Macaca fascicularis: one gene and its partner. The protein of the gene in region 1 purifies or fractionates together with the protein of each later gene. This does not show direct contact. Links are inferred from orthologs where the notes say so. Each region holds a gene or a part of one and is shown on either strand. Other genes may lie near its edges.

The links.
Region 2: the proteins of NUAK1 (region 1) and USP9X purify together in Homo sapiens (affinity purification with mass spectrometry; 4 studies listed by BioGRID and IntAct, with this or other methods). This does not show direct contact. The link is inferred for Macaca fascicularis from reciprocal best matches to the Homo sapiens genes NUAK1 and USP9X.

What each region holds. Positions count from the first base shown.
Region 1 is NC_088385.1:113,054,845-113,059,077, reverse strand, and holds the start of NUAK1 (NUAK family SNF1-like kinase 1), read left to right. Parts: upstream 1-1,230; 5' UTR 1,231-1,534; coding exon 1,535-1,792; intron 1,793-4,233. UniProt on the Homo sapiens protein: Serine/threonine-protein kinase involved in various processes such as cell adhesion, regulation of cell ploidy and senescence, cell proliferation and tumor progression. Phosphorylates ATM, CASP6, LATS1, PPP1R12A and p53/TP53.
Region 2 is NC_088395.1:41,066,847-41,071,433, reverse strand, and holds the start of USP9X (ubiquitin carboxyl-terminal hydrolase 9X), read right to left. Parts: upstream 2,948-4,587; 5' UTR 2,667-2,947; intron 2,400-2,666; exon of another isoform or gene 1,639-2,399; intron 1-1,638.

The DNA of each region.
Region 1 (4,233 bases):
AGCTTTCTTCCTTATTTTTCATGGTCTCTTCTTAGAAGGGGGGCAGTCACACCGCGGTGGGAGGCCCTTCCTGCCTGACCCTTACCGTGCGGGGTACCGTTCCTGTCACCATCGCCAGGATCAGGCTGGCCCTTACAGTGAAAGGAAATCTTCCAAGGCCTAAGGAGGCAAGAGGCCTTCAAGTCGCCTCCTGCTCAGCAAAGGGGTTGCTCAGCAGGCCGGGGTTCCTGGTCCACCCCAGGTCCCTGGTTTGCCCACCTCCGATGGCGGCCTTCGCTGGCAGTGTGGGCGCCTCTGGGGAGCCAGCTCCATCTCAGCGCCTTTAGAACCTCATCTCTTCCACGTCCCCGGCCTTCCTCCCCTTCCAGGCTGCTGTCCCTGCCGGGGTCCAGATAGTGTCCGAGGGCCGGCGGTTCGACGGCGGGCCCGGGGTTCAGCCTCCCGGCCTCCCTCGTCCCCGACTCTCCTTTCTTCCGAGAGGGCGCGGGGTCCGGGGCCAAAGCGCCGCTCTTGGGATTCTCCTGGACTCGGAGGTGCCCCAGGCGGGCGCAGCTCTGCCCCGCGGGGTGCCAGCCTCGGCGGGCAAGGTCCGTGAGTCACCGCCTGTAACCCAACACCAGGCCTCCCTGCCCCCTCCCCCAGCTCCGGCCGCCAGGCCGCGGCGACACCTACAAGAAAATGAAGGGGCGCCTGGGCCCGCGGCGCCCCCGGCCGGATGGCGAGCAGGTCCCGGCGGCCCCCGGCTCGCGGCGCTCTAGCTTCCCTGGCCCCGGGGCTCGGTCAGCCGCAACCGCCGTCCCGGCGCGAGCAGGAATCCAGGCCGAGCGGCCGGAGCCGGAGCCCCGAGGCGGCGGAGGGCCCGCGATAGCTGCGACTGGCGAGCCCTAGAGCGCCCGGGGAGGGGGCGCCCAGCTTGGAATTTCCCGGTCCCCTCCGGCCCAGCGAGGACCAAGCCCCCCTGGCCGCCGCCGCCGCCGCCGTGGCCTACGCCGCGCCGCACAAAGAGCGAGTCGCGACACGCTCCCATCCCCCTCCCAGCTCACGGCGGCCCCGGCCCGGGGTGGCTGCAGGGAGGTGGGGGAAGCCCTAGCTGCACCGCCCCTCGCTCCCCCTCCCCCGGGGCAGCGCGAGCGCCGTCCCCGCCCCCGCCCCCGCCCCGTCTGCGCGTCCTCCAGGGGAGGGGTTGGGGGGCGCGGCGCCCCACATAACACTCCCCCTCCTGCGCTCCGAGCCACCCTCTCCCCTCCTTCCTGCAAACACCACCGCCTCCCCTGCCACCGCCGCCACCTCGCCCGAAGCTCCACAGTTCGCCGCGGCCGGGGGGCGGTGCGCGGACCGTGCGCGCCGCGGGCGCCAGATGTGCAGTCCCCGCCGCCGCCAGTGACCGAGCCGCAGCCCGAGCAGTATCGGGCCGCCTCCCTGATGCTGCGGGGGCGACCTTGAGCGTACCGCGGCTTCCCTTAGTGGGGACCACGACAACCCAGCGCTGTGCCCGGTGTTGCCCTCTGCAGCCCGGCTCGCCCCGCGCTTGGACATGGAAGGGGCCGCCGCGCCCGTGGCGGGGGACCGCCCCGACTTGGGGCTGGGGGCGCCGGGCTCTCCTCGAGAGGCGGTGGCGGGGGCAACTGCTGCCCCCGCGGCGGCGGCCGCCCCGGAGCCCAGGAAGCCTCACGGGGTGAAGCGGCATCACCACAAGCACAACTTGAAGCACCGCTACGAGCTGCAGGAGACCCTGGGCAAAGGCACCTACGGCAAAGTCAAGAGGGCCACCGAGAGGTTTTCGGGCCGAGTGGTGAGTGGGTCAATCCTGGAGGGTGCGGGGGAAGCTGGCTGGACGGGCTGGGGACCGATGGCGTGGGAGGCGGGGATCTGTGCGCCCTAGGGCTCTCTTGACAGAGAGGGGGCTCATTGGGAAGCCCCGAGACAGACTCCTCACTCTTTCCCTAGCACCCCGTGACTCAGGCGTGTCTCTGTCCTGAAACACTTGTTACATCCTGTCTGCACATATTTTATTTTATTTTTTGGTTTGTTTTAAAAAATTTAATCCCAGCAGCAAAGGAATGTTTTAGATTTGCAAACATTTTGCAGCGTTGGGACGGCCGGGGTCTCCCTCGCAGGCACACATTCAGACCATGCCCCGAAATGCCTTATTTCCACAACTCTCCAAATAACCACATTCCCAGCTAGGAGCTAGCCCCTCAAGTCCCGTGTTTTTAGCCCCTCAAGTCCCGTGTTTTGTAGGTGTCCCTACCCCCTTGCACCCATCTGCCCGCAGCCCCTTGCTCTGCATCCTCCCACTCAGACTCTGCATTGCCCTGATGATGCTGTGGCTGCAAGGGAGGGCGACTCCTGCCTGTTTTTGAGACAAGGTTAGGGAGCAAAAATAAAGACTACTGCAAGTCTGAGGATTCTAACAGTTTGCATTGTGGCTTTGGGAGGAGTGAAATGTCCAAGGCATGTGTAGCTACACAGATAGCTGTGCTTAGTTGCAGCCGGCTCAATTGCGTTTCAGCTCCTGGTTGCAGGGCTACCAAACTGCTGAAGGGGTCTGGCCCCGCTGCTCTTGTGACAGCTGACACCCTGCCAGGGTCCTGGCACCATTTGCACAGCTACAAGAAGTGCTTTGAGTGCCTTGGGGTCTGTCTGCCTTGTCCCAGCCTTGGTTTGTTGTTATTTTCACTTCTGCAGAACAGGCCCTTGAAATCCACACTGCTTGTGGCTAGAGAGTTGGGTTCAAAGTGACTGACTGTTGCAGAAAGATTTTGTGTGGTGTGTGGCAGAAAATTAACATGGTTCTTTGATTTGAAACAGATCAGATGTATTTTAATCGATTTAGGGCCAAAGTCAGAAACTAGTTATGGGGCTTCTTGTGTGCACTTTTGGGAGTGTTTTGGGGGCTCAGGGTTGCTTATAAACAACAAATGACTGCAGGAAAAAAGGAAAATGAGCTGTCAAATAGCAGCTTAATATTGACATGTTTCTTTTGCATTTGGGCAGGGACAGTTCTGTGAAAAAAATGGGGGTGCCAAGTCAGCAAAGTTCAGTCCCCAAATTCTCAAATATCTGGATATCTGGATAATGTCCTCCCAACCCATTTCTCAGATTCGGTGTTTGAGTCTATATAACTTCATCCCATAACGTTATTTAAAAAAAAAAATCTGTTATCAATTAATTGGAAATTTGAGATGTACATTTCTTTTTAAAGCTAGCTCTGTAATAAATTCTACAGCAAGCAAGTAGTTGAGAATTCACTCTGGGCAGGTGCCATTTTTGTAGGATGAAATTGTTACAGGGGCGGGTTGTAGGGGTGGCCTCTGATGAAGGCATTTTCAGGTTTGTGGAAGAAGAGGCTGGGACATGTGCGCTTCATTCATGCTTTTCTTCTGAGGTGATATTCCCCAGGCTGGATGTTGAATAAGCAAAAACTAAGCTTAGCTCCCTGCTCATGTTGTCTTAATAGCTGCTGAAGAATCGCACTGGGAAGGTGGGAAGCAGAATAATGAAAAACAGACGCAGTTCGAGTTGCAGGTTGAGAATGTGAGACTATGAGGGGTTGTTGAAGTGGTAAGGGTGTGCCTGGGGTCTGTGAAGGGACCCCAAAGTCTAAATGCTGGGGCACTGCCTCAGACCCTTCTAAAGAACGAACCCTTGTCTTATGGCAGATGCCTTTCTGAGCGTCAGTGGGACTTCCTGTCAGGCGTTCTTCGAACTGCCTGATCCACAGACTAGGTTAGAGTGAAAGGCATTTGCATCAGTAGGCAGCAGTCCGCCTTTCTCTTTGGGGGATGTCTTTCTCTTATTTGCAGAAACTGAACATTCCGTCAGGATTTAGTCAAGAGGCCGCGAGGGGGCGCCCTGAGAACGAGAGAGGCTTCTTTACCAGCCACAGGTCTGAAGTCCCGCTGTGTTATTGTTCAACCCTAGTTCAGTTTCCCATTGTGCTATTAATTTCAGCTAAATCACTAGTTTTACCCCAAAATTATATAAAGATTTTAAATCTGGCATCAGACCCACGCCCAGAAACTGGCAGTCTCTAAAATGCTTCATTTATTCACGGGGCTGCTTTCTCCTTGATAGCTAAGCTTATAGAATGTTAGCCAGATCCCTGGGTGAAAACCTTGCATAAAACAGATGGGAAAACTGAGGTTTGGGGAAGGGAAGTCCTCCTTGGCCCCCCTGTCCTCCCCCTGCCGAGCACACTGCTCACGGATGGTGTTAAGAACTTAAGTGAGA
Region 2 (4,587 bases), on another chromosome or scaffold:
GAAAAGCGGTAGAGATAATTAATATAGTCCAAATGTCCTATTTTTAAATTAGAGAAAACAAAACAGTAAAATACCAAAGACATTTTGAGTTCACCTGTGGAACACCAATTCCAAATACTTCAAGCTTTCACTCCACCCAAACGCTGGAACGATAAAGTTTAAAGGGTTAAAGTTAGATGTATGACACAGCACATTAGTTTAAAAATTGAGAAAAAGAATGTTGACATTTTTTATATTTAATATATAATTCTTCAAGAATTTGAAGGCATTTGCTGAAACCAAAATGGCAGCCCAGCGAATTAGAAGACCAGCGAGATCTAAAGGAGAGTTTGTAGTCTCTATTTTTAAGTTCAAGTGTACTAACCAGCCAAGCTAGTCATGGTGAAGGAGTTACCTAAGGGTAATTAGCTCCGAGAGGGTTAAGTACCTGCTGGAAAGTTTCCTAATCAATGCACCCCAAATTATTCCCCTCAAAAGTGAAAGTATACATACGTTAGGTAGATTCAGGGACTCATGGGTTTCCAGGTAAAAGAGCGGCACACACACTTCTCTCGCCGAAAAATAAAGTATGAATAATCTATACCTACAACTTGCTTAAACTAAAAGACAATCTGAAACAATTATATACACCTGTAAACTGCACCGTGTAAATTCAATTAACGTTATAACTATGGAACTTCCAAAAAATAACATGCTTAATTTAAGCAGGTTCTACTAGAAATTTTGCAAATTCTCGTGTAAGTTGTAGTCGCTACAGAAATCCACACAAATAATTGAAGAAGCCATCTATACACCTGCTCTATAACTCTTTAACTTATTTCACAATGAATGAAAAATCAGCCATTTATCCAACCCTAAGCCTCACGTCACAAGAATCTGAAGATCTGATCACTAATAAACTCGCACATGCTAATATTTGCAGAAACAGTTAAAAATAGAAAGATAATAGGTCCAAGCTAGCTTGGAAGCGATTTCTGCACTCAAAAACCCCTTTCACGGCTTTGGCCCTCTGCAAATTAAGCGGGGTTAAGGAAGTGTAGGAGGCCGATAACCCAGCTCCGACTCCAGGAGCCCAGGGCCGGGGAGAAACTGCGGGTTATCGCGGGAGGGTGGGGGGAGGCGGACAAGTCGTCAGGCCTGATAGCCAGGCGTAGCCGAGGCCTAGCTCCCCGACTCCAAATCACTCCACCTCAGTAATGGCGTTTGGTGTCAAGTGGAACCAGACCGGGCAGGAAAGCGGCCGCCGGGCCGGGGGCGGCCAGCCCCCAAACCGACCCGGGCCCCGGGTGCGGACGGCGGGGGGGCTGCCCGCCACGCCCGGAGACTCCATCCTCCTACTCGGCCCCAGACAGGACGGGAAGGGGGAGGAGGGGGAGGGACGGAGCCGTCAGCCATTTTCCCTTACAGTCCAAAACACACAAGACACGCTCTCGGGACACCGGCTCCACACACAACACGGCCCCGCGCGCCCGCCCAGCCCGGGCCGGAGGAGGGGGAACGGGGAAGCCCCGGCCCGGCCGGCAGCCGCCGAGGGAAGAAGCTCACACACACGCACACCCCCCTCGCCCTCCTCCCCTCACCCACATCCAGCTGTTGGCCCCGGGAAGGCGCGTCGCCCCGGTGCAGCTGGCCACTCACCGCACGACACAGACGTCTTCTCAGAACCAGGGCACGTGGAGGCGGGAGGCAGCAGGCGACGCTGGGGCTCGGTCTCGGGACAAGACCTACCCTGGGTGCATCCCAGGCCCGTGGGTGACCGGCAACAAAGTGTATTGAAAGGCTGCGGCGGCCGGGCTCGGGGCTGAGGGCGTCTCAACCAAAAGGCTGCACGCCCGGCGCCGGAACTCGCTTCTCGCCGCGCCCGCCTCCTCCTCCTCCTTGGCCGGCTACGGCCCTCTTCCCCCTTCTCCCCTCAGGCTGGGGCTCTCGCTGAGCTCAGACGGGCTCCGGGCGGTGCGTTTCTCCTGCGTCACCTCCTCCTGCTCCTCCTCCTGCAGCGACGGCTTCACCTTCCCCTAGTCGCCGCCTCTGTCCCCGTTCCGGGCCTGGTGGCTTTGCAGCAGCTCTCTCCTAGCTCCCGGCGCCGACCCAAGCACCGGGCGCTAAGGCGGCCGCCTCCCGCGAGAGAGAGGCGGCGGCGGAGGGCTCCCGCGAGGCCCGGGAGCTATGCAAGGCGGGGAGGGGCTCGGCGCGGCAGAGGCCCTGACGGGGCCGGGTGCGGAGAGGTTGCGGCTCCGGCGGCGGCGGAGACTAGCGTCCGCAGCCGCGGATGCCCGTCCTCGTCAATATGGCGGATCCGGCAAACCAAAAAAAAAAAAAAAACCGCTCGGCCAGTGGCGGCGGCGGTAGCGGCGACGGCGGCGGCAGCAGCGGTGGCGGCGGCGGCGCAGACTCCCACTAGCCCCAGAGCCGCCCAAGACCCGAAGTTCTCCGCCCCCGTCAGACCCCGCCCCTCTCAGGCCCCTCCTTTCGGGCCTCCCCCTGCTCCTGCCCAGCCCCCTCCCGCTCAGCTGCCCCCTCTTCTCCCGCCTCCACCCCGGACCGTCAAGGCTGGGAGAGCAGCGCGAGCCGCCGAGGGGGCCGGGCTTGGGCGCGAGCCGCTGGGAACCCGGAGAGCTAGGGTGGGGGAGGGGAAGACAATGCGGTAAAGATTGTTCGCGCAGTACCGTTTCTTCCGGCTGGCCCCTTCAGGGTCGTGCTACCGCCAGAAATCCTGTTCCATGCCCCTCGGCTCAGGAGCGGGACGAGGGCAGAGGTGGCTCTAGGACCGAAGTTGGGGAAGGGAGGCCCGAAAAGATCTGGCACACCACGCCGGAGGGGCTGGGCGGCAGGGACTGGCGGGGTGTGCGGTCACGACGGGGTTAATCGCGTGAGCCGCAGCCGCGTCGCTCATAGTTTGACTCTGGCCGCTTGTTTTTGTTCCATTGTGAACCGTGGCCCCACCGACAAGAACCCGGATGATGACGTCACCGGCCTCCCCCTTTTCCGGGATCGTGGGGGGAGGGGCGCGGAAAGATGAGATCCCGAGACCACGCGCTGGGCTGTCGCCGCCGCGGTGCCTGGAGGTCCCGGCGGCGCAGCTGACCCGCGTCACGTGACGCACGAGCTGGCCGGGCCACTGGGCTGCGGGGGCGCGAGGTCCCGAGGGCCTGGCCACCTGCTTGGCGCCGATAGGGGGAAGGTGTGGCTATCTCCTGCAGCGGAAGGAGGGGGCGTGGGGAGTGAGGTCCTTTTCCCCACCCCGCGAGGGAGGTGCTCTGGGAAACACTTTCACACGATCGCGCAGCATCAGTACTTGAAAGCGTTTAGGCGTCCTCACAGCGTAACTGACGGGACTGACAACCTTGTTGGCTATAGGAGCCCTTCAAACAGACCAGGAAAGAAAAAAATTATAAAGTACCCCAGACGGCTTAGCGAATAGGCCGTACTTGATATGGCAAGATTAGCCTCCATTGCCAGATCATCAGCACGATTCGGTGTTAGAACCCGGAAGAAACTTATGAACCCATCCGCTGTGTCATGGACTATTTTCTACATGTTTATATTCCAAAGTGCAGGCGTAGGAAAAACTTAGGCTAATCTCAAATTAATGGGGTGCTTGGAACAATTCTATACAGTCTGCCTAGGATGCCCAAATGAAGAGGAAATTAACAGTTCCTAATTTACAGATTTCCTTTTGACTTAAAACTACCTGTGGACATCAAATGGCATGCAAAATCATAGTAAAACCTTACAAAACGAGATTTTATAGAGAACAGGGTTGAATTTAGTTATGCTATGATTATATCAGTTTGTAATAAAAGACTGTTAAAAATGGAACCAAACTAATTTAGGTGACAGTGAAAGCAAGTTATTGGTATCTTAAATTTTTAAACCATTTCTCTATTTAGCACTAGATTGTTTACAAATTTTTCACCACAAAATTACCTAATAGGGTATCCAAGATACATCATTCATAGCCCTAATAACTCTTAGCATATGTTACCTTGTTTTTGTAATTATTTCCATGAATCATTTGCTTACCCACTAGCTCATGGGCTTCTAAAAAGTAGACACGACCACCCGTGTACACTGTAGGCTGTTATCTTCGATTTTAGATAAGGAAACAGAAAGGGTAAATGATTTGCCCAAGGTCAGGATTGGAAAGTGTTGAACACTGGTCTTTTAACCCTATCAAAAGTGCACCTTTAACAAGGATTGTCCCCTCTCACCAATTCTGTTCAATATTGTACTTGCAGTTCTAGCCTGAAAAAGAAATGAAAGACATCCAGATAAGAAAGGAACAATTAAACTATCGCTACTTTCACATGACATGATTTTATATATAGAAAATCTTGGGAAATCCACTATAAAAAAAACCTAATAAAGCCAATAAGCAAGTTCTGGAAACTGCAGGATATAAGATCAATATTTAAACATCAGTTATAGTTTTACACACTAGCAATAAACAATCTGAAAATTAAGTTAAAATTCCATTACAATAGCATCAAAATCAATAAAGTTAAAAATCTATTTAACAAAAGAAATGCAAGATTTGTACATTGAAAACTACAGATCATTGAAAAACATTAAAGACTGAAATAAATG